Lonchura striata: one gene and its partner. The protein of the gene in region 1 interacts with the protein of each later gene in a biochemical or structural test. Links are inferred from orthologs where the notes say so. Each region holds a gene or a part of one and is shown on either strand. Other genes may lie near its edges. The genes, in order: LIMK2 and ROCK1.

Region 1 (12,192 bases):
GGAATGCTCACAGTTGGCCTTGTTTACACCAGGTAAGACAGGTTTTCTTTTACTCTGTCTTTCATCAGCTCCAGTTGCTCAATAAAGCCCTTGGTTCTCTGGAGTATCCCCCTCTTTTCAAATGTGCTTTTCTCTCCAGGGCAGTCACAACCTGTTCATGCAGCTTAATGTGCAACAGCTTGCAATCTGCTCTTTGAGCAACAAGAAAACTTAGATTCTGTTCCACTTGCCTCCACTTTTGAGTTTCTTAAACCCTGCGTAATTGTATTTTTGGTACAATTGTTGTTGGAGCTTACAGGGTTTAGTTTGCACGTTTAAGTGCTGAGTGTACTTCTCTTTGTGTACATAGTGTTTTACATTGTGGTAGCACTACAGAGAAGGTGGATGACAGGAAGGGTATCTGCACTAACCCTTGGCCTTTGTAGGACTTTTTATTTCTTATTTTACTCCAGCACAGATGTGAATATGTACACATCAGCAAGTTGTTCCCATCAGAACAGCCTAAGTGCCAACTCCACTTGAGGGAGTACTTGGCACTTAGAAAAATGTTTTGCTCCAGAACTTTGTGAGAAATTGCTACAGTCTTTCTGCCTGGCTGCAAATTAGGTTTTGCATAGTTATTTTTGTGGCATTTTAGTGGTTTTCTTGTAATTTCCTTTCTTTTAGTGGCTAGAGACCAGGCCAAACAGACAAGTGTGCCCTGTATGCAAAGCAGGAATCAGTCGAGATAAAGTTATTCCTCTGTATGGAAGAGGTAGCACTGGGCAACAGGACCCCAGGTAAGAAACCTAAATGCAACTCTTCTCATTTGAAAATTAAAGATTAAACTTTAGTTTAGGGTCAAAAGATTAAGCTGTTAAAATGCTGGATTCACAGTTTTAAATACTTTGTCAAAAGACATAGATCTCATATTTCTGCCAAATATTTCTGGCTTTTTTAGGGCTTGGGTTTGCACACATTTCTTGTTCTACTGGCAATTCATTTTAATTTTAATCAAGTGTTAATTATCAGTTACAAGTGGCAGGTTGCAGTGATTATTATCTGACTAGAGAATCTTATATTAAATGTTCATATCCTGAGTTTTTAGCCTTTGCAGTGGGTGTTTGTTATTCAAAAATACAGCATTATGTGCTGCTGAAGGTCCAAAGCTGCGTGGTTGACTCTCTCACACACTGTTCCAGCTCTGCTGGATGGCTCCAGGAGACTGTCTCTTATGGTGATTCTGTATTATTAGCCAGGCTACTGCAGATACTGTTGTCACATGTCCTTGCACTTGAGTTAATTTCACCACTTCCTGCAGAGAGAAAACTCCACCACGACCCCAAGGACAGAGACCTGAACCAGAGAACAGAGGGGTAAGTGATCCAACAAGCTTGAGTGGTTTAGTTGTTTTTCATTGATAGTGGTATTTATTCATCCTGGAGGACATAATGCGTGTGAGAGAACCTGCATGAGGATCCTGCAGCTTCCCCAGCTGGTTGTTCATGAATCATTGGTAGCTGTGGTGTGGCAGAGAGCTCCATTCCTGTGGTACCCTTTAGCATCCCAAAGAACAACCCATCTTGGATCATGCTTCATGAATGCAGCCCAGTGCAGTATCACTGGAAAAGCTTTTAATGCTTGATTGTTTTCCATGTTTAAATACAAGGAACACTTTGCTTTGAAAATTCGTTGTGCAAGTGTATTTCTGTCAAAACATACGTGTCATTAATTAATCCACGTATTAATTTGGATTTTTTGACACTGACACCTGCTTCTCTCATTTTGACGGGATGTTACTGTACCATGGCATTACAAGCAAGAGGAAGTTGATATCTGTTGGATGCATGTTAATTTGAAGAGGGATCAGTGGTTTTGTTGAGGAGATTACATAGGGTGAATGTAAACAGCAGCTGGCACAGATGGAGCAGACGTGGGAGTAGGCGGTAGGACAGACCACAGCGTTCTTCAGCACGATGGCAGCAAGCATGACCTGATGAAACAATGGCACATTTCCATGTAACTCAGCCCGGGGTCCTTGGAGAGGATTGTCTCCCTCATGCTTCAAGCAAACAACTCTGCAGGGTGTGATTAAGGTGCATTTCTGTATTGAATGTATTGGGAGCTCAGCTGTTCTCTCTCACTAGAGCATTGCTGCCTTATTAAATCAGCTCCTGTACCTTACTTGAACCTTTCAGGTGGTGCTGCTGTAAATCAGAGGGATGGGGTGTGAAGGCAGGACAGTAGTGATGCTATTCTCTTCATATCCTGTATCTGCCACAGAGAGCTTTGCTGTCCCCAGAGTTAGTGGCAAAATGTTTGAAGAGAGTATGGTCAAAAGACCAACTCCTCAAATCAAGGGTCAACCAAGAAACATTTGACTTTTATTGTATAAGTAAAACCATCTTTGTCCTCCCATTGCTGGTGGTGATAAACCAGAGGGTCTTTCAGAACTGGTATCACTGTTTTAATTCTGAGGTGAGAGGGCAGTTTACTGGATTACAGAGCTGTGGGCTCTCCACAGTGTTTAGTCATGACACAAAGCCCCTAGATTCACACACAGTCAGTATCAAACAGCACACTGCTTCTGCAGAGCAGGATTCATCTCAATTCAGAGCACTTATCTTTTGACTTGATGCGGTATTTCAGTCTGGATCGCTTAAGGTCAGTGTTATTGCATTGTAACTTCCTTTATTTCATCCTTTCCTTATATCTTGCATTCCTGCCCCAGGTTATTTTGCCACCTTAATTTGAGTTCCCATGGTAAATTTTTTTGTGGTTTTCCTTCAAATGCTCTATGCATCCCACTGGGAATTTATAATTTCACTGAGTATTTAACTGATGCACATGTATCACAAATATCAGTTTAGGTTATTTTCTTGAGTACCTTTCTTATATGGCTAACAGCTGTTAACACACGATACATTGTTAAGACATTCTAAGTAGAATTCCTCCTGGTGATTTTGATACATTGGCAGATACTACTTTAAGTTGAGAAAGGTTACAGTTGAAAAACACTGTCCTAATTTGTGGCCCTCAAGCAAGAACTGCAGTTGCTAGTTTTCATTTTCTCAAACCTTTGGGTTGCTCGGTGAATTTGCTGCTGTCTGAAACATTTTAACCCAGGAGACCTAGGGGGGGATCTGGACAAAAGTGTGTCAGACTGAAAGTTGCCAGACAGCGTGACCCTCCTTCTGCCATGGCAAAGCCAGCGAGAGGGAATATCTGCTCATCCACAAAATACTCTGAAATAGGCTCTAAGTGAGTCCCTTTTTTGTCTTCTGTTCTTTGTTCTCTGCAGGGATTCCAGGGCTTTGGGTTTGGTGATGGTGGCTTCCAGATGTCGTTTGGAATTGGGGCGTTTCCCTTTGGTATATTCGCAACAGCCTTCAACATAAACGACGGGCGACCTCCTCCAGGTACCACGGATCCTTCTCCTGCCCCATCACAGACAGACATTTTACAAACTCTTAAATAACCTGCTAAATGGCAAAATATTCTGAGCAGTAACCAGTGTTGTCAATAGAACCACTAAATGAGGGCAGAAACACTCTGTACAGAACGTGGTCTGTGGCTGGTATGTTTTGTACACAGACTTATAAAAGAGCAAGTTTGTCACTTCTATATAATTTGCTGAAGGCCCTCCTGGGAGACCAGTGACTGCAGAGAAACAGTGGCACTGGAGACTACTCTCCTCTAATTCAGATGTCTCCTCTGGTACACCAGCAGACTTCTCCTGAAAAATGTGACAAATTGGACTAGACTTTCTAATAATAATAAAAAGGAGTCACTAGGGGTGTATGAAGGAGACCCAGTTTTAAAAACAGCAGGAAAGTACCATTTCCTGAAAGATGAGAAGGAAAAATTTAAACTGGTGCTCTGTACCACCAAATTATAAATGCAAAGATTGTTCATTTTCCAGAAATTTATCTGAGACAGTCATCTGTATTCTACAAGAAGTAACTTTCCAGTGAAATTACTTCACGTTTTTGATTAAGAAAAAACAGTTGGATTATTCCAAGGGGTGACCTTGCTCTCTAACAATGAAGTAATCCCTAGAGAACCTCCTCCCTATCTTCACTGTAGACAGACTGAATCTGTTTTGAACAAGAATGCCTACTGCCCAGGATTTTGTGAACTTATTTTGTGAACTTATTTTGTGAAAGGTTATACCTGGCAAATCTTCCACCATGTCATATGGCACGGGAATTATGAGGAACAAACTCATTCTTCACATCACACCAGCGTTGCCATGGTCCTGTGCTGTCCTTAGGTCAAATTATTTTCCCTGTTAGCTATAGTTCAGTGTCCCCTGAAAATCTGCTGGGGGTGGGACTGAACTAAGGAATCCTGCTTCAAGATACTTGTCTTCCTTCTGATCTGCCCATACAGGCAGCCAGGCTGAGGGTAGAAAGTAGCAACTTTTCTCACCAAGCAAATCCTTTGCATATTTTTCAATGTATGAATATACTATATTCAGAATATACACAATCCGAGAGAAAAGGAAGGAGCTGAACTGTTTGTTTTTTTTACTTCCTGTTTTCCAGCTGTTCCAGGGACTCCTCAATATGTGGATGAGCAGTTCCTTTCCCGCCTCTTCCTGTTTGTGGCACTGGTGATAATGTTCTGGCTGTTGATTGCATAAATCTTTTCCATTATTATATATATTCATGACCAACAAGGCCACTGAAACAGTTACAAACTGCATCCCCATCCCATTTTAAACCTCTTGGTGTCTGGTTCCATAGCTACCTATGGGCTTCAGGAATTGGTGGTACCACAGCACAATGAGGAATCTCACATTTTGCACCAGAGTTGGTAATTAAAACATTGGTTTAAAAATGTATTTCAGCTCAGATATGTTGTACAACAGGTTCCTGCCACAAACCATGGGCCTAGCGTTGAGCTGCACTCCGAAAGGGAGTGCTGCTTTGAAATCCTGTGCCAATCAGTGACACCAGGTCTGTGGGATACACAGTTATCCCAGCGCAGACTGGGCAGGTAAGGAAACTTCTTCAGTGTCACCAGTATCTCCTGCTTTGCAACCACGATGGATCTGCCAGAGCTGCAGATGTTATTTAATGTCTCCATCAACATCTGACCTTCTCCAGGAAATCATCTGCAGCACTGCTGAGACTCTCTGGGGCACAGCACGTGATGCAAACGGAACCAGGCCTGGAGACTGGTTTCTTTTCCGCCTGTTATTTCCTGGTGTGATGGAAAACCCTTCCTGAATGGTTCTGATGGCTGTTAGAAGAAGGGATACATATTTATGCTGCAATTTTTTAAAGCCTAAGCATGCTGGAGCCATCCACTGGAAGATTCTCTGGCTGTGGAGCCAGGTGGGGCTGCTGGACCCAGCCCAGTTCCTCACTGACAAACAGTGTTGTCTTCCCCAGCTCTGTGCAGCACCTGTGGCTGCACCCGTGGATAATCCCCTCACAGCCTCGTCACTGTAGCAACATTTATCTTTCTCAAGGCTTTGAGACTTTCTACAGAAGGTCATGTACTCCAGATAAAATCCTATTACAGATCTGAGATCAGCTTGTTTGGGGAGAGGAACAAAAGGCATCTTTACATGAGTTTTGAGGTAAAACTTGTCATACTGTAAAATTATACAGGAGGAGACATGAGATCCTGCCTTTGCCAGCACATGCTCAGTAGGGAACATTTGGAAGACCTTCTCTCTGCAGATGCACGCAGACCTTCTCCCGTGCCACAGCAGAACTACAGCGCAAGAGTCTCTGCAGCTAAAATCTACCAAAGATTTTAATTTGAAGTGCTGGAGGAGACCACAACCATTAATGTGCTGAGGGGATATTTCAGAAGGTGAGCAATCTGCAGCCGCTTTGGGATCCTGTTGGGTATCCAGCTTTAAAGAGTACTCCTGATGTATTTGTGTAGATTCCTTCAAAACAGGTATGAGAAAGTCCCTAGCAAGATGAACAGTTCATATTTCTCTGACTAGGCAATTCCATTTTTTTTCCTCTTACTGTCTATAGATTTTTTTGATTCCGGCCACTCATAGTCATAATGATTTCCTGCAAGATGAATGTTGTGACTTCCCTGGCAGTAGACAGAAAAACTGAAAAGCAAATCAATTAATAGAAACTTCATTTCAATATCTTGGGATTTTTTTAGCATATGGAAGTGTTTCCTGGGCAGGACACCTTTAATTAATTGTTATAGAAGTTTATTTATGTAATTATAAACTGTTTCCTTTTAGTGTCAAGGCAGAGTATGACTGAAGTTTAACTTGCCTACCTCCAAAATTCCATCTGGCAAGTAGAATGTTGCAAAGCTTCTGCAGTGTTTTGTCACGTCAGATTTATACCTGACTTAATGATAATCTGATAGAATATATTGCTCAACTATTTATAGTTGAGGTGGTGCTTCAGCTTTTGTTGTGTGACACTTCTGAGTAGCTGAACTTTGGCATAGGGTTCTTCTCAAGTGTGTAACTTGGTAACTGGGGCCCTTCCCAGGAGGAAAGGCTGTTTTGTTTGGTTGTCCTACAATGTCGCAGCTTTGGCTTCCTCTCCTGCGCAGTCAGCACCACCTGCTGATGGGAAGGGAAGGTTTGTGTGACAGTAAGAGATGGATTCCTTCTCCTTTTGTACGGAGAAACTCGATGCTGAGAGGTTATGCAGGAAGGAGAAGCCTTTATCCCGTAAAGAGGATAGAGAAGTGACTGCAATAGATTCAAGAGGTACTGAAATATATTTAATTAATACATTTTAAAAACCAGAATTTTAATGGATTGGGGATGGGGAATTTCCATCTAGGAGTGAGAGAGATAATGGATTTAGAGAAGGCTGCAGAAGCATGACCGAGAGCTCTTATTTTCCGGCAATTCAAGGATGAAATAGTCTAAAAGTGTTAACGCTTGGTTCCCCCTTTCCCTGGTGTGCTTTTGTATGTACCCCTTCCCGTAACCTGACCGCACACGGCCCGGACGGCTCGGTTAGTGCGTTACCGTTGCTCCTCACTAATTTTCACTGTTGTGAAAGTGATTTAGAATTAAAAAATGGTTTTACATTGAGCGGAGTGCGCCGCCGTTCCTTTGCGCTGCCTCGGGGGCGGGAGCGGGGCCGCGCCCGCCGGGCACGTGCGGGGCGGGGCTGCGGGCGGGCGGCGCCGCCATTGGCCGCCGGCGCGGAAAGGGCGGGGCGGGCGGGGCGGGGCAGCGCGGGGATTGGCCGGGGCGCGGAGAGGGCGCCGCCGATTGGTCGGGGGCGGGCGCGGCGCCGCGCAGAGGCGGGCCCAGGTGCGGCGGCGGCCGCTGGCGTCGGGCGCGGCGGGCGCGGGATGGAGGCGCTGCCAGGTGAGCTCGGGCCGGGCCGGCCGCGCCTCCGCGGGAGGAGCCGCGCTCCGCCGCCGCGGGGCGGCCGCCGCTGCATCGGCGGGGGCGCGGGGCTCGACGGGGCCGCTGCCTCCGGAGCCGGCCGGACGTCAGCCCTGGCTGGGGAGCGTTCTGGGGCCGGCCCGCGGCTCCCTCCGGCCGGTGGCACCGCCGGTTCCCGGGGGTTCCCGGCGGGTCTCCGGGGCACTGAGATCCGCAGGACGGCCGTGGGAGACGCGGCGCGTCCCCCCCGGGGCGGCCGGAGCCGGCCGGGTCGTGCAGCGCCGGTGCCGCGGGGCCGCCGGTGCCGCGGGGCCGCCGGTGCCGCGGGGCCGCCGGTGCCGCGGGGCCGCCGGTGCCGCGGGGCCGCCGGTGCCGCGGGGCCGCCGGTGCCGCTCAGCCCGTCCCCGTTGTCCCGCTCGGTGTCCGCCGGGGCCACGGCGGCTGCTCCTCGCTGGCCGTCTCTGACACATTCCTCCCGTCTGGGAAACTCGACAGACCTGTTACATGGATTATGTCCGTTTGCGTTTCCTTCGCACTGTTTCCTGCTCTGTTTTCTTCATTTCCGTCGTTTCTCCTGCATACTGAAGCAATTTCTGTTGGATTGAGGACTGTTCGTTTCCCTTTGTGAGCTAATCAGCCTTCCTGGGTACACTTAAAGAGATGTAGCACTGCAGCTGAGAGTAGGTGTAGTTTCTTCGTGGAGTTCCGAAGCCGATGGGTCAGATTCTGTAAGATGGTCGGGGAATAATTTGTTGCTTCTGGTCAGCTATGGTGTAATAGTTGATCTTTAAATATCTTTAGTAGGATCCACAGACAGTTTTTACACGTGTGTGTTGTGCTGGTGACACTGAATGGGAGGGGATGGAGCTGCAGAATGTTTGGTTTGCAGGTAGTTTTGGCCTGCAGCTATTTCAGAAATTCAGCTGACTTCCAGGGCTTGCCCTGCTTGGAGAGGAGAGCGTTGGCTGCCTGTGCATGGAGGCACAGGCACACGGAGCTTTGCCTTTTATTCCCAAGCCCGTTTGGTGCACTGAAAAGCCATTTCCTTTATGGGACAACATGGATAGGATCAGGTTTTTCCAAGGTTCTCCCAGCCTTTACTCTACTGTGCAGGTGTGAGCTCAGGTGCAGTTCTTGGTGTTCTGGATTAGCAGAAGGGCACAGGGGCAGGTGATCCAGGTGTGGTGCTGATGCACACTTAGGGACTGAAGTAGCAGTCACATTTGAAGGAACCCTTTGAGCCTTACATCTTTATGGAGACCTTCCTGGGTACTGCTGCTCTGCTGGTGATAGTGGTGCTTGTAGCTGAGCAGCAAATGTTTTTTTTCCCTGAAATAGCTATTTATGTAAAAAGTGCAAGATCTTCACCCTAGTTAATTTTAAACATTGTCATTGACCTAGACGGTGGGGTAAAGGTGCATGGAAAGTTGATGGCTTCTGTTTTGTGTAGCTTCAGGGAATTTAACAGTGGTATGAACTTGCCTAAGCAACTACCAAGTTGTACCATTCTTTGGAAAAGGGAAGTCCGTGGTTTGTGGTTTGCTTTTCTAAGTGCACCTTTTTCTTTAATGCTGCCTTGCTACAAGGAAACTGTTAGTAGCAGGAAGAAACAGGTTTGGGATCTTTTCAGCTCTCTGACACATTTCTTGTGCCATCCTGTGCTGAACTAAGATTCTTGACTCTTTAATATGCCTGCACTGCCCTTGGGATTTTGGATACCATTTATCTGTGTGCCAAATGTTCTTTGTGCACAAGCTTTCATTCTGTTTTTCTAGCTTGCTTGCATCTAAGTAACCAGCTCTCTCTGGGGCTTTCTGGCAGTTCTAGCAAAAACTATTATAGCTCTATTATAACTTTTATAAGTATTTTCTGAAAGGGCAATAGGCCAGTAGCATAACTCCCCCTTTCTAAGTCTGATGGGTAGTCTGATGTTGGCTGTACAGTCTCTATGGGATTATTCATTCAAGAGTGTAATTCCTTCCTGGTAGTCTACTTGTTCTCTACTGAAAGAAGTTTGTCTTTCCTTTCTTTCAGTTCTGGGAAATCCAGTTAATTCTACAAATGCGAGCAAATGTTTTGTGCTGAGTCAGTGGTGTGGGGGAAGCAGTAGCGTGTCTTCCTGGCCTAGCATGGTTCTCTGTTGGAATTGTTGTACTAGACCAGTGTTGCCTTCCTGAAATCTCTGCTCTGACAGAGCTGTAACTGAGCTGTTTTATGTGAAAAGTCATAGTCTTCTTTTCTGCAGAATGTGAAGAAAGAGATGTCATGTCTGGGGAAAAAAATATACAAGATATCAGAGTTTGATTTGGGAGTTCCCACTCTGGGGTTATAGACTTCCTGCAGCTTTCCATGTGGGAAGGCTTTCCTGTCAGTTACTTAAGATTGTTCTTTATGAAAGATGTACCAATCTTTGTTTTCTCTGGTGTAAACTGGTTGCTGTTTGTCCCCTTATTGCTGCGTGCAGGTGAAGAAGTCTGGAGATGCCTGGGATGTGGGGACAGCATTGCTGCTGGGCAGCGCCTCCACAAGACTGTCAATGAAGCTTGGCACATCTCCTGTTTCCGGTAGGTGAAGCTTCAGCCTTTAAACCCTCCTTGTGTTGTTCCACTGCCTGGGAGCTGGTGGTGAAGTACCAGCATGAGCTGGGAATTCCTACAGTGATCTCTGTGCCTGACCTGTTCCGAGCTCGTTTGTGCTGTACCCCAGGGACAGCATCCAGTCCTGAGAGCAGCTGACACTGCCTGGCAGCACGGCTGCGCTGACGCAAACGGGATACAGATAAAGTGCAAATAAAAGCTCTGATTTACTGGTGGTGGCAGAAGCCATGGCTTACATGTTTGTCTTCTGCAGCATTCCAAAGTAGTGCCCAGGCAATTTGCACAGCCTGTTACTTTTTCATTGTGTGGTAGGTGCAAGGGTGTTATCAGGGTGCTGATAGAGAGGAGGGAAGAGACAGAGATCTTGCCTTTTGCTTTCTCTCCTTTGCAGACTCTTAAGACAAATTTATGAAATCTGTTAGATAATGTTGCTGTCTGCAAGGACAAAAAGGAATATCTGCTGTGCTTTTTCGTGGTGGTAGGAGTAATACCATTTTGGTTTTCCATGAATATTCAGTCCAGTTTTCATGCTCCAGAATCACATTTCTGAAGGGGTCTGTATTTTTGAAAGAGGTTGAGTACCTCCAGCTTCTACTGGCTTCTCTGTTGGTTTGAATATGGGGAGGCTAATGTTTCGTTATTGTTAAAGAAAGTGGGGAGAAAAGGAAGCCAAAGTGTGGCTTTGGAGGAATGTTTTTTGTGCCAAAATAAGCATCTATTGTCCTCGTTTAAAGAACAGAAAAAAAAAGAAGCCAACAAAATACCCCAACTTTGTTGAAGGTTGATTGTGGTTATTGGTATATTTAAAAAAAATAAAGCATCTCATGCTGCCAAAGCAATGCAGGCTCAGTTCACTCAGAAAATGCTGTTTTAGTGACACATTAATAATCACAATAACATTTGATTTCATTACAAGTCCCAGTATTTCGGATTTCTGTTGGTTTTAGTGTTCATGTTTAGCCATAATGAAGCAGCTTGTCTTAATCCTGGTTTTCTCTTTTCCCTGAAGGATGAGTATCCTGCTGAGCTTCCCTAGATTCTGCCAGTAGCCAAACCCCAAGCTGTGTGTGCTGGGAAATCTGTCCCTCTTGCCATTGAATGTATTTCTCTTGTGGGTCTTGATTTGTAAATGTTGTGGTACTTCTTGCTGTTGGAGCTGTTGAGGTAAGGAACAGCTGAGCTGGAGGCAAATCCTGCCTTTGGGACACTTCACAGAGGATTTGTTTTCATAGGTTATAGTGTATAATGGAGGTTTGTTTGTTGCTTCTGGGCTGGTTTGTTTGATGCAAGCGATGACACCAACCTTTCTCTGAGCAGTGTAGTCACTTTTTGTATTTGCTGATGCACTTCTTTTGCTCTGTGCTTTTGGTGAGCTCCAGCACCCAGCGAGGCTGCTGTGCTCAGTGAACAGTTGGAACCTGCAGGAAAGGAAGCTGCCCTCCCCTTTTTCCTAGTTCCAGGGTAGGACTGTACATGAAAACAAGTTTCCAGTTTACACTGTGCTCCTCCTTTTCTTCTGCTGTCCCTAAGCCATGCTGAGCAGCAGTCTTATGCCTGATATCCCAAAGCCAAACTTTAAAAAGCCTCTACGGGTAGGAGGCTTTGGCAGTTGGTAGCTGTGAGTTCCGGCAGCTCTTGTGGAGTGTTTTTTGCAGTCTTCCTGTGGATTAGCTGACTCCCTGGCCTGGCACATAATTTCTCTAATGCTGATTGGCACTGCTCCAGGCTCGTTAGCTCTGTTTATTCTTGGTCAGGCTTGGCGCTGACGTACATGAGCGTCTCCGAGGATTTAAGTTTTTGTCACTTCCCTCCTTCCTCAAACTGCATGTACAGGAGCTTTTGTCTCTGAATCCTGCATTTTCCCTGCTGTGGCTTGAGAGAAGAGCAAATCCCTGTTTGTAGATCTTGGATATTTTAGACTGTTCTTTGGCCAGCCTGTTCCTTAGGCTTGAATCTGATGGGTTGGATCTGGCTGAGGAAGTTTCTTAAATGTTTCTGTCACAGTGTCTGTTGTGAATTAACTCTGAATGTGCTTTTGTGCCTCTGAGTTCAGTTGAGACAGCACACTCTATCAAAGGTCACTGCTTTTCACAGTTTGACTGGATTTGGAAATTTCATTGCACAGAACTTCAAACATTACACCAAGAAAGGGAAAGATAGAAGTGAAAAGGTATTTTTTTCCTAGGTCTGGATCATTTTTACCTCAGGGGATTATTGGAAGAGCTTTTTTGACCAAGAGCTTGCTGGTTTTATTGTTTTTGATCCAACTCT
Region 2 (11,823 bases), on another chromosome or scaffold:
TGAAAACACTCTTCATGAGTTCCTACCTAAACAGAGAGAGCACCAAAATACATTTTCATAAAAAGTTACTAGTTATTTTAGAATCAAAACCATATGCAATTCCAGGTCAAAATATCCCACATCTAACACACTTGCTATACTCCTTAACTCCCCACTCTACAAAAACTGGAAGCCCATAAAGCCTAGAATTTACTAAAATATGGGTTCATTCCAAAAACTGTTGTAGAACCATGCTAACTGAACACTACTTTTCAGTATTTAAGCTCACTTAGCTCAAGGCCTTTGGGCCTACTCAACGCCCCTATGGAAATTACCAGGATCTGACCACTGCACACCCCACAGTGTGACCACCTCTCTAAAACAGCTTTCAGTCCTATTACATCTATTGGGGACTGTAGGACTCCTAGTACCAAATATTTTGAGAAAATGCACTACATGATGTTGTGACACATTGTCTATGCCTAAGTCAGGCTTAGAGCCTCCTCATGCCTCATCAAAAAAAAGACAGCTTATCTATGATTCCTATGCCTAGTACTACATCAAGCACATGGAAGCCCCAAAGAAACAAATCTTGTTACAGACAGTTGCAACTAAATTCATTTTCTTACTCTGTTTTTTATTACGGTTACGTAAGAAAAAACAGGAAAAGTAAATACATCTCTTTCCTGCACTTGAGCTTTATGAATTTCCTTCCTGCAGCATGTAAATCGAAGTTACAAGGCCCTCAGTGTGCTTTTTCCGCCTGCTTGGCTCTGTTGTCAGCACTCTTCTCCCACACCTTCCTCAAACGGTAACATCTTCCTTTGCATCAGGCCCCACCCCCATCTTCTTTTCTTAGAGTTCTCATACTATTTCACATATAAATTTAGAATCTTTCTAGCATACAGAACATAGCTTATGACAGTTACAAAGCCCAAAATGGCTACAAAGCTGATTTAAAGGTTATTCCATGTCTTGTCTCTTAGTCTATGAAGGCTACAAACTGATGGGGAAGAAATATAAGAGCAGAAGAAAAATGAAGCCAAGTTAGAGGAAAAAAACATCCTAAGAGAAGCCAAGAACATTGCTGAGACTTTTCATCATACAGTCAAAAAAAATGTTCCCTGAACCTAAATGAACCCCAGCATTTTAAACATATACATATAGAATATCAGATGTTGAAGTGTCTGTGTGTCTGCTATTCCTGTATTTCCACTCAGATACACACAGTTAGCTGCCACCTTTGCTTAGAAAAAGTCAAAGCAGTTGTAAGGAACATCAATGCACAACCTTAATCAAAGGTTAAAATATTTTAGATTTTTAAAGTTTTACTAGAAAGAATTTTTGTATGTAGTCATAAAAATATTATTTAACTTTCTTATTAAGTGTACCACGTCTAAAGTCTGTCAAATTTCCCTCTTTAACTGAGACTTGCAGGGAGGAGAATGGGAAGTTCATTTCAGAAGGTATTCAAATGCAAATCAATTACACCTACACCGAAGTATTTCTTCCTTAAAAGCATATCCATACAGATTTGAATGGATTTGATATATAAATAGTACTTTGGGCCAAGAATGATACTTGTAGTGTGAATCATCACATTAAGAACTGGTGTAAAATATTTAAGACGTTTAGAAAATGTTAGGATACTTATATTCTTCTATAGAAAAGACCCCAAGAACAAGTGAAGCAAAGTATATGTCCAGCCAGCAGTTAAGACTTATTGACCAAACACATACAAAGCTAGCTTATCAAGCTACTTCCTCAGAAGCAGCATTTTCTTTAATTGGTAATAATTTAAAAGAAATTTCCTAAGAAACTGTCACTTCAAAGGACCTTAAAATCTGTAATGTAAACACATGTTCAACAACTTTCAGCAAGCATGACAGGAAGAATCCCAGCAAGTTCATTCCCAAACTGACTACAGCTTAAGTTCCTAATCACAATTAAGATAACTGAAATGGGGCAAATCCTTAAACTGATTATAAGATTAAGGAATACAGTTAAAGATACTACCAACTGCATGTCTGATACCTGGCAATTCCTTCCTACCACTGTAGGAAGGTCCCCATACAACAGCCAGCAGCTCAGCACATACTAGCAAACTGAGCCATGGTTAATGTAAACTCTGGACTCTTAGCTAACTTTATATTCTTGCCACCTATCAATAGAACCTGGCTGTAAAAACGTCTGATAAGTCTCGAGGTATCAAAATTGACACACTATATTCTAAGAACCAGAGGTCTTTTCATTAGCTGTGGTTCTAAGATGACAGATAAGCAAAGCAGATCAAGAGAAGCAAATTAACTAGACGATGCAGTGCTGTTTTCCTTTGTGACAACAGCATCCACAATGTTCTGCTTTTATCTAGGGATGCAGGTTTGACCTGCCAACACTTCAGAAGCTCACAAACCTGTAATAAGTTAAAGAGAGTAAAAAATAATATTGTCAACTTGTACAGATTCTTGCATTATTCTTTTAATCTATTCACCGCCTGATGCTCAAGTAAGCTTTCTGCCAAGAACCATGCAGCAAAAAATGAAGAATGACTATTAAGAGCTATCTCCACCCCCACACCTCCCTTCCCTTCCAACCCCAAATGTCAGAGTTCATACGAGGAACAAATTCAATTTATTTGTTCCTCTCTCTAACAACAGAAAGCCAGGGAAAAAATACACTAAAGAACTTCCATCACTTGCTCCAAAGAAAATAAGCCCTCTACTTCAGTGCGAAAGCACAAATTACACTTTGGTACTATTTAAGGGTATTCCTAGGCATATCTAAGGACCCAGATGCATCCCCAACAAATTGGCTATATTTGGCATGCAGTTTACTGTGGTACTCAGTGAACTAAATGAGTACTAAAAGATCATCCAATTCTGTCAATCGGCTACCAAATGACGTTGGTTGGTTTTACATCAGGAAGTGTTATGGCTTGCTTTCCTATGATGCAGTTATAACACTGACAGCACTGGTGAGATGCAGCTATTAGGTACAATCAACTAGGGAAACAACAAACGAGCAGGCCTACCACAACCACCACTTTAAAATGCATTTAAACACCTGCCCCCACCTGTAAGGGCTTATTAACTGTGTTGTATGCGACCGTCAGCGCTGCAGTGCTTAACCACAGCATAAGAGGACCTCGGTCATTAAAAAAGTTGTTGGAGAGCGAACTGGTATCAAAGCTATTTGACGTCCTGTGCTCACACAGAGGAACGGCACTCACGAATTGCGCCTTTGTGGAAAGGCTCCAGCGCCCCTGTGACAGCCGGCGAGGCACAGAGCAGCGCTCGGAGCGAGAGATGACAAGCGTGAGGCAGGGCTGGGCAGGCGCCTCCTTGGCAGGAGCCGCTCTCCCGGCACACGGGCACACTCACCCACCCTCAGCCCAACGCTGGGTAAACAAAACACCAGCACGGAGCAGAGCAGGGCGGAGACTCGGCCAGGAGTGCGAGATTCGGTCCCACAGGGTAAGGAATTCGGGGAGACGTGACCGGGGGCCCATCGGCGCTCCGCACTCACCAGCAAACAGTCCACGTTCACTTCGGATTTGGGGTCCTTCAAAGTCACGTCGATTTTCTCAAACCGAGACTCAAAACTTTCTCCTGTCGACATGTTTCCGGAGTTAAAAAGTTTCCCTTATTCCAGAGCAAAGTTAAGGTTAAAAAAAAATTATAATTATAAAGTTAAAAAAAAAAAAAAAACACCAAAAAAAACAGGAACAGGGGAGCGCAAAAGAGAAACTGCAGCCTGTACCAGGCTGAGGAAGCGCCTCCTGCGAGATCCCTTCAATCACAAAAGTCTCTGGGGCAAGTCCCTGCAAAGGGGGCAGAGAATCCAAGGGGAGCCCGCAGCAGGCGGGGGACGAGGCTGCTTCTCCCCCCGCTCCTCCAGGCACGCACGCAGCTTCCCGGGATGCTCACAGCTCCGCAGCAGCAGGTTTCCTCTCCCTCCCTCCTCTGCTCGGGCCCCACCGCCTCAGCATTCCCATTTTCCCAGCCGGGGAAGCCGTCCTGGGCTCCAGCGTAGCGGTCCCTCCTCCTCGCCCCGCCGCTGCAGCGCCGGCGGGTCGGTGCCAGGTTCCGGAGCGCGGCTTTCTTTCCGGTGAACCAGAAGAAACAACAGAAGAGGGGAAACAAAAAAAAAAAAAAAAGAAAAAAAGAAAGAAAAAAAGACAAAAGCCTGCAGCCACACCAACAAGGCAAAAATGGATGGTAAAATAAAACTTAGAAGACCCCTCTCAGCGCCGTGGGTTCGCTCCGTCCGTGGGCACCGGGCGAGGAAGAGAGGAAGGCACCGGGCGAGTGCCCCCGCGGGCGGCGGACGAGTAACCTCACCGGCGGAACGGCCGCAGCAGCATCTTTCTTCCTCTCTCCTCGCTGCCTCCCGCCGCTGCCAACGCCGGTTCAGCCCCTCCCTCTCTGCTCCTCCGCCTCACGGACGTGATGGCAGCCCGGACCGCCTCAGAACCGACCCGAGGTTGCGGCGTGAGAGGGAAGGAAGGAAGGAGGTGGCTTAAGGGGAGGGGAGAGCGTGAGGTCCAGCGGCTTCAAGGGAACCTGCGAGATCCACCAACATGTCCGCCTTCCTGTTTGAACAGTCGGGACGGGGCGCGGGGCGCATGCGCGGGGGGAACGGCTCCGGTGCGGACGGGGACGGGACGGGACGGGACGGGACGGGACGGCAGGGGGCGCGCGCCTGGGAAGGAATCACAGTCACCGAATCCGTTGGGTTGGAAAAGCCCTCGGAGACCATCCGAGCCAACCTGTGAGCGAACACCACCGTGTCAACTAGACCAGGGCACTGAGTGCCACATCCAGTCTTTCCTTAAATACCTCCAGGGGCCGTGACTCCACCACCTCCCTGCACAGTCTATTCCAGCGTCTAATCGCCCTTTCTGTGAAGAAACTTTCCTAATGTCCAATCTAAACCTCCCCTGGCGCAGCTTAACGCTATGTCCACTGGTCCTGTTACTTGTTGTCTGGGAGAAGATGCCGACCCCAGCTGCTCACACCCTCCGTTCAAGTGGTTGTAGAGAGCCATAAGGTCACCCTTGAGCCTCCTTTTCTCCAGGCTAAAGACCCCCAGCCCCTCAGCCGTTCCTCGTGGGATATGCGCTCCAGACCCTGCACCAGCCTCGTTGCCCTGGTGAAGGAAAAAGCCGGAGAGGCGGGAGCGGGCGGAGGCAGCGCGTTCGGCCGGAGCCCGGCGCCGGTGCGGGCGCGGCGGTGGGACGCCCGGGATCCCCCTTCCGGGAGCCGCTGTCCTTGTGCGCCCGCCCCCGCCCGGCAGTTCCGCCGGGAATCGCGCGGAGCCCCGGGCCAGCGTCCCGCGGGAAGAGCTCCGCTTCCCGCCGTTCCCCGAGCCGTGGGGGGTGTTGCCGCCGTGTTTCCGCCCCGGCTCCCCGGAGGCGCCTCAGCGCTGGTGGCTCCCGCCGCCTTGCACGGCACGGGCACGGGGGACAGGTGGTAGGGAGGGTCACTCCTAGAGCTGCTGTGGGCTCCATCCTTGCGGATCTTCAAAAGCCAGGCCCTGGGCAGCCGGCTGTCGGTGGTCCTTAGGTGCTCCCTCACTGCAGATATTCCAGAACTGTATGGGTGCAATCCTGTGCTATGTGCTCTGGGATGATCCTGCTTGAGTAAGGAGATTGGACCACATTGCACAGTGTAGTACCTTTCCACCTTGACCTATTCTGTGATTCTGCAGTTCTGTCCTACCTGATCAGGAGGACTACGAGAAGCTGGCCTCCAGAGATCCATTTCAGTGGCAGCCACTCTGCCATCCTGTGTGTCCCAGGAAGGAGAGGCCAGCTTACACAGTGCTGGAAGTTAAAAGCATTCCCGTTTATGTCCAGTCAAGAGCCATGCGCAAGGTAGCATACCAAACACAGGAAGAATAGATACCAGCAGTAAATCTGTGCAGCCTGTGTTGGTGTTTCCAATTCAAACCTTACCTTGAGACCACAGCAGGGTCCTTTTCTTCAAATAAGGAAACAACTGTAGAATCCCTTAGGTTGGAAGGGACCTCTCAGATCATCCAGGCCAACCTCTGAACACCATCATGTCAATTAGAACATGCCACTAAGTGCTACATCCAGTCTTTTCTAGAACACCTTCAGGAATACTGATGCCACCATCTCCCTGGGTAGTCAATTCCAATGTTTAACAACCCTTTCTGTGAAGAAATTCCTCATAACATCCAACCGGATCTTCCTGTGGGTCAGCTTGAGACTTGAGCGAGGTAATGATTTCAAATATTACTGGACAGAGGCCACTGTACTGGTTCGGTTCTTCGACTTCCACTGCAGTTCCATAAATGGCAATGACATTTTTACTAAGATCACTATAAATTGCACAGAGATTGTCAGTTATTAATCTCTGGTCACTGAACAGTTGCCAGTAGCAAACCTGAATCATTAGCACTGTAAGTTATTTTCCATGTCATGGTTAGGAAACCAATTCATAGCCAAGTGTTAGAGCATTCGAGCTATTCAGTCCTGGATGTCAGTACTTGCTATCTTGCTTGATGCAGATAAAAATAAGAAATAGTATTCTACATTTTGCTTTTTCTTATCCACAGCTGCCTGCATCTTTGGTTTTGTTTTCTGCTGAGAAGTATCTACAGTTAAAGCAAAAATACAGGCTACAACAACATTTCCTGCTCTCTCGTTTTATGCTGGCTACTGCCACAGCCCTTTGATTCAGAGGGTTTGGTTGCTCTTGGAAATGCAGATGTTCCATTTGAGCAACCACAGTCCAAAGAGAACAATTCTGCAAGCTGCAGGGTGTAGGCTTGGGATCATTTCATAAGTGATACAGTAAGTAATTTCTAAAATACACAGAAAATGCTTCTTGCAGTCTTCATCTAAAGCAAGATGAAAATCATCACTAGAGATACAAAGCCTAATTCACAGTGCTCTTGGGCACCTGATTTAAGCATTAGGGATGATGCCAGGCTTCAGCAGGGTGATTTGAGGCGCCTGACTGAAAACAATGCAAAATTCATGAGCCTGTAATAGCGTATGGAAGAGGAAGCCTGAATCTGCAGTTTAGTGGGGAGGATCAGCATTGTGATCAGCAGGTGTCACTTATGTGTTTTATCCAATGTCTATGGGAAAACTTACAGATACTCCTGGAAATGCAAAACACCTTGCATGTCTCCAGACCTCCCTGAAACAAAGCTACATAGGTCTTGCTCCCTCTTGCTCTTTGCTTCTTTGCATTTTTTTAAATTTTTTTGACAGTGGCCCAGATTCAACACAGAAAGTGGAGAGAAGCACCATCCCATTGTTTGGCATCTTGGTGAATTCACAGAGACAAGAGGAGGGCATTGGACAGGCCCAGCCTCACATGGTTTTTTGCCAGTGAAGGATCTTGCCTCTGAAGCAGAACACCTGAGAACTTCTACCAGACTTTGTGGTAAGCAAAGCTACTGTGTTTGTGTTCATCTGTGTGCAAGATCTGTGTGTTTCAAACATGTCTGTCAGACTGGGCTTTTCTCACAACTGTTGTGGACTAAAAATGCTTGTTTGTCTGTCTCAAATAGAATAGAATTTGTGTGGGAGGTACTCATGCAGCTGTCTAGGAAACTCTGAGCACTACTTCAAAACTGTAAAAGGGAGGCTTTGGCTACCAGCATCAAAAAGGATAATTGATTCTAATTTTTAAAAGCAGGTATGGGTTAAGTGTCCAGTGTAATAAAGTACTCATGTTGTAATGTGAGAGTGTAATGTAATAGTTTTTAATCCAGAGAACACTCATTCACATGCTGGGATCTTAAAGACAGTTTTCACATACTTCAGTCAGACTATTTGTATCTATATGGTTAGGAACTTGCATATTTCTAGCATTGGCCCCTTAGAAATCATACAAATCCCCATCCTACACAACCAACTAGTGCACTGAACTTTTGAACATTAAATTTTTTTGGTTTACCTTCCTGATAAATAAACAAAAAATGGTTAATTTCTTCTTGTTGCTTTGTTGTGTCACATATTTTGGAATCAAACTAGCTTTTGTTGCATGAGATAGGAATTACTCAACATATACATGACCTGATAACACTGAGCTGATAAAGTATGCAAACGTGAAAGATCATTTTTTCTCTCTTCAAAAAGCAGAGGCTTTTCTCTCTTCAAAAGTAGAGACTTTAAAAGTCTTTAATTCTTGAAAGTGTCTCTAAGTAAGTTGATGGCTATACAAAGTAAACTAACAAACTGATAATCCTAATAAAAACAAAACCATGGCCCCCATATCCATATTCTCCTGCCTGTTTCATAAGATATTTAAATGTTCCTGCTTTTTCTGTGATACAAATTGATGCTGAATTAAAAACTGATTTTTTGGCAGAGATTGAAATTTCTCATTAAATACAGAATATCAGTAAACTGTAGAATGACTACACTGGCTTCCTCTAAACCATGATAAAATATTTATGAAAAGTACAAGTAATACTGTTTATTTTGCAAATAACATTATTATACATGAGAGTAATAAAACTGTGCATGTAAGAGGTTTCAGTAGTGCTCATTTCAGGAACATTTAGCAAACAGGAAGAACACAAGAGCAGTGGAATACTCAAAGCGTTGGCTCAGCCCTCTCTGAGCAGGTACTATTACTCCCATCCTCTTGTGAAAAAGCTAAAAAGAATTAAGCAAAAGAGCTTGTAATAAAGTCAAATGCCATTTAGATTTTTCAGGTCACTGAGTGTGCATTTTAAAAAGCATACACTCTCAGAATGAGAGAACAGGCTGGGACACCCATGTTCCTGAAGTAGTTACTGACTTCAGAAGAGTTGCACAAGACAGAAATGAGACTATATCCTGTTCACCATATTAGGTCAAGTTAGTAATGCAAGAGGTTCCCTCACATTCAGCTTCCAATTTAGTCAGCATGAAACCTTCAGCAGTTAAATAACATTATATTAAGCCTGCCTTTGGTCCACTGGCCTCTCTCCTTCTTTGCCCTGCAAAACTGGCTTAGTTTAGCCTCTGCTCTAGTCCTAGGAACAGTTAATAGCACAGGCCAGTGTGGCTTGAAGCCCTGGGATGAAAACTGGTCAACAAATCCAGTCCTTGGGCAAAATATTTTATCATTGCTAAAGCCCATCTGTGCAACAGGCTATTTGCAGGAGCTTCCTGCTTCAGGCAAGGTGTGATGGATGCTCAAGCAGACATATCTGAACTGACTCTGGGTAATGATAAAGTCTAGCATTGGTCTCAGTGTGCTTGCAAAACCTGAAAAATAAAGGCTGTGTTAGGTAATGAATGCTGGTGGCTGTAAGTAGCTGATTTAAAGCTGAAGTCAAGGCAGTGACACACTGCAGCCCCCTCACCTCCCTTGGGAGTTCACCTATGCATTGTAAAGACTCCTCAGGGAATTGCAGCTGAAAGCTTGCAAAGTGCTCTGAGCAGTGAACACATTAAAATGCCCTATGAATAAGAGAGAGAAAGTAAAAAAATTAGAGAGATATTAGTCATAATTTAGTATGCTGATAAATCATCTTGGCTCTTGATGAGGCAAAACATAAGACCTAGAACAGAAATAGAATAGAAGCGGCCTAGGCAATAAGAACTTCTAGCACAAGAAAACACTTTTGCAAATAATAGATGAAAAGAGAATTTCCTATGAGTAGACTCAACCAAAGCAGTATCTTTCAGATGTTTAGCAAACATATGTTTGTCATTGAAACAGTGCAACATATAAATATGTTTTTCCCGCATGTTTCCTGCATGTTTCACCAGATTTAATAAAGGTGCGAGGCTCCAGGCATGTGGCCTTTCCTGTTCCAATATATCCCACCTTCCCAGCAGAGGGTAGCTGCTGCTGTTCACTATTACAGTGCATTTTCAAGCACAGTAGTACTTGTGCTGGAACCCTGAGGAGAACTTGCTCCCACTGCCTGTGAGTGGTGAGTGATGAGTAAAAAATGGGGCACCCGAATCTGAATCTTTGTTGTATGTTCTTGAACAAACTAGAAGTAGTGGGGGAAAATCACCTTTTGGAAATTAATGGATCAGTTTGATGGAGAGGATCCGGTCTGAAAATAAACTTCTGCAAGGGAGGAAGTAAACTGGATGGCATTGTCTGTTCCAGTGCAAACGCAGATGTGTTTGCTGCCAGCAGACAAGGGCATCGTTGTATAAACAGCATAGACACTCCCAAAGTAACTCCTGTTCTATCTGCAAAGGAGGGGAGCTGTGAGCCCAGAGATAGATAGCAGCTCCCATATCTGGTTACCATAAGGCTTAGGCCAATATCAGCCACAAGTGCATATACAGCAGAGGCTCCCTCTGCTTTTATGCTTTAAAAGTGCAAAAAACCAAATCGTTTCACCAATGTATGTCGAACGTTCACAAACTGATTTGAAATCAAATCAAAATTCCACTGGAATGCTGAAATCTTCATACCCTAGTAAGCCCCATTTCTGTGGCAAATACTATCTTCCCGTTAAAGCCACTTGATGGATACAGAAAATGTCAATTTGCCAGAAATTCTTCCATGGGAAAAAGCTTTTTTATTTTCACTATCCCAAGGCTTAAAAATGGCCCAAGTACTTCTTGTTGGAAATCTTCGAAAAGCCAAACAAATTCAACTTGTAAGTCAACAAAAAACTGTGGAAAAATATTGCCTGAAAAAACAAAGGTTTCAGAAATTTAAGAGTATATTAAAGCAGGAGCCAAAAAGTAATCTTCTGATGGTCATACACCAGGATATAAACAGAAATAATACATCATTTGTGTCTATATATTTACATTATATAAATGGATATAGAAAGAAATTATTTCCATTAAAAGTAGAGCGATTATCATCATTTTAGACCTCTTAAAAAATTAATCCAATTTTCTACACTGCTATTATCTTGTGAATCATCAATGAGATTAAGGAGTTTTCTTCTTATTTCTCCAGTTCGTAACCCTAAGTGCTCTCTCCTAAAACAATTTTCTCCCATTCCACCTTACTCCTACTTCCCTGACATACACATATCACATTTCCTGTGGTTGGATTAGCTTTGTAGTCCTTGCTCAAATAGTTCTTCTGAAGACAAAAAGTTAAAAGTAAACTAGGCTGAGTTTAAAAGTAAACTAGCTTTGATTACTCTGGTTTTGTTTTTATGTATGCTGTCCTAAATATCTACACTCCTTGTAAATGCTTTTCTCTGATGAGGACTATGACAAATCCATAAAAAGCCATGTTTTTTATCTTGGGCCTGGGAAATATGTAACAGTTTCATCCCTTAACAAGTAATTAACTTCTAAATGACACACCTCATAACTTTATTAGTATAAACAGAGAGGGCTCCGTATGATCCTTTTCAGGACAGAATGGCAGAAGTTGTCATTCCTGACACAGTGTGAAGATTCAACAACACAAGTCATAGGCAATTGCTTTTATACCATGGAGATTCATGCAATTCTACCTGTCTTGTCTTAAACTAAATGCACTCAAATGACATTAAATATGTAATTTTTAAAAAATGCATATATTTAATATTACTATCTTCTGGATTTTTTTTTATTAAATTGTAGTCACTGAAAAAGAATTCAAATTCACTACAACCTCAGGAATTATAAATGAGTCAAGTTAGTAATTTTTTGGTGAATTTTCATAGCTAAATCCTAGAAACTGATTTTGTTCACAATCAGGATATTTTCGAATTCTTTTTTTAATCTCATGCCCACTAGGCAATTGGTTAACCATTATTTTATACCAATAATGTTGTTTTCTTTATAGAGCTCTGGTACTCTTTGAACACATTTATAGTGTTTGAGAGAGCCTAGTCTTAGACAACAGAGATTATTTATATATTGACTTTTATTATAATTCTGTTTTCATTTTGTTG

What was found.
Region 2: of the proteins of LIMK2 (region 1) and ROCK1, one has a biochemical effect on the other in vitro, tested with the Homo sapiens proteins (2 studies listed by BioGRID). The link is inferred for Lonchura striata from reciprocal best matches to the Homo sapiens genes LIMK2 and ROCK1.

The regions. Positions count from the first base shown.
Region 1 is NC_134620.1:4,576,104-4,588,295, reverse strand, and holds the start of LIMK2 (LIM domain kinase 2), read left to right. Parts: upstream 1-7,240; 5' UTR 7,241-7,287; coding exon 7,288-7,303; intron 7,304-9,788; coding exon 9,789-9,888; intron 9,889-12,192. Other genes in the region: E3 ubiquitin-protein ligase RNF185, read left to right, coding at 14-32, 667-779, 1,301-1,355, 3,281-3,398, 4,527-4,624. UniProt on the Homo sapiens protein: Serine/threonine-protein kinase that plays an essential role in the regulation of actin filament dynamics. Acts downstream of several Rho family GTPase signal transduction pathways.
Region 2 is NC_134603.1:47,964,289-47,976,111, reverse strand, and holds the start of ROCK1 (rho-associated protein kinase 1), read right to left. Parts: upstream 4,531-11,823; 5' UTR 3,598-4,530; coding exon 3,505-3,597; intron 1-3,504. UniProt on the Homo sapiens protein: Protein kinase which is a key regulator of the actin cytoskeleton and cell polarity.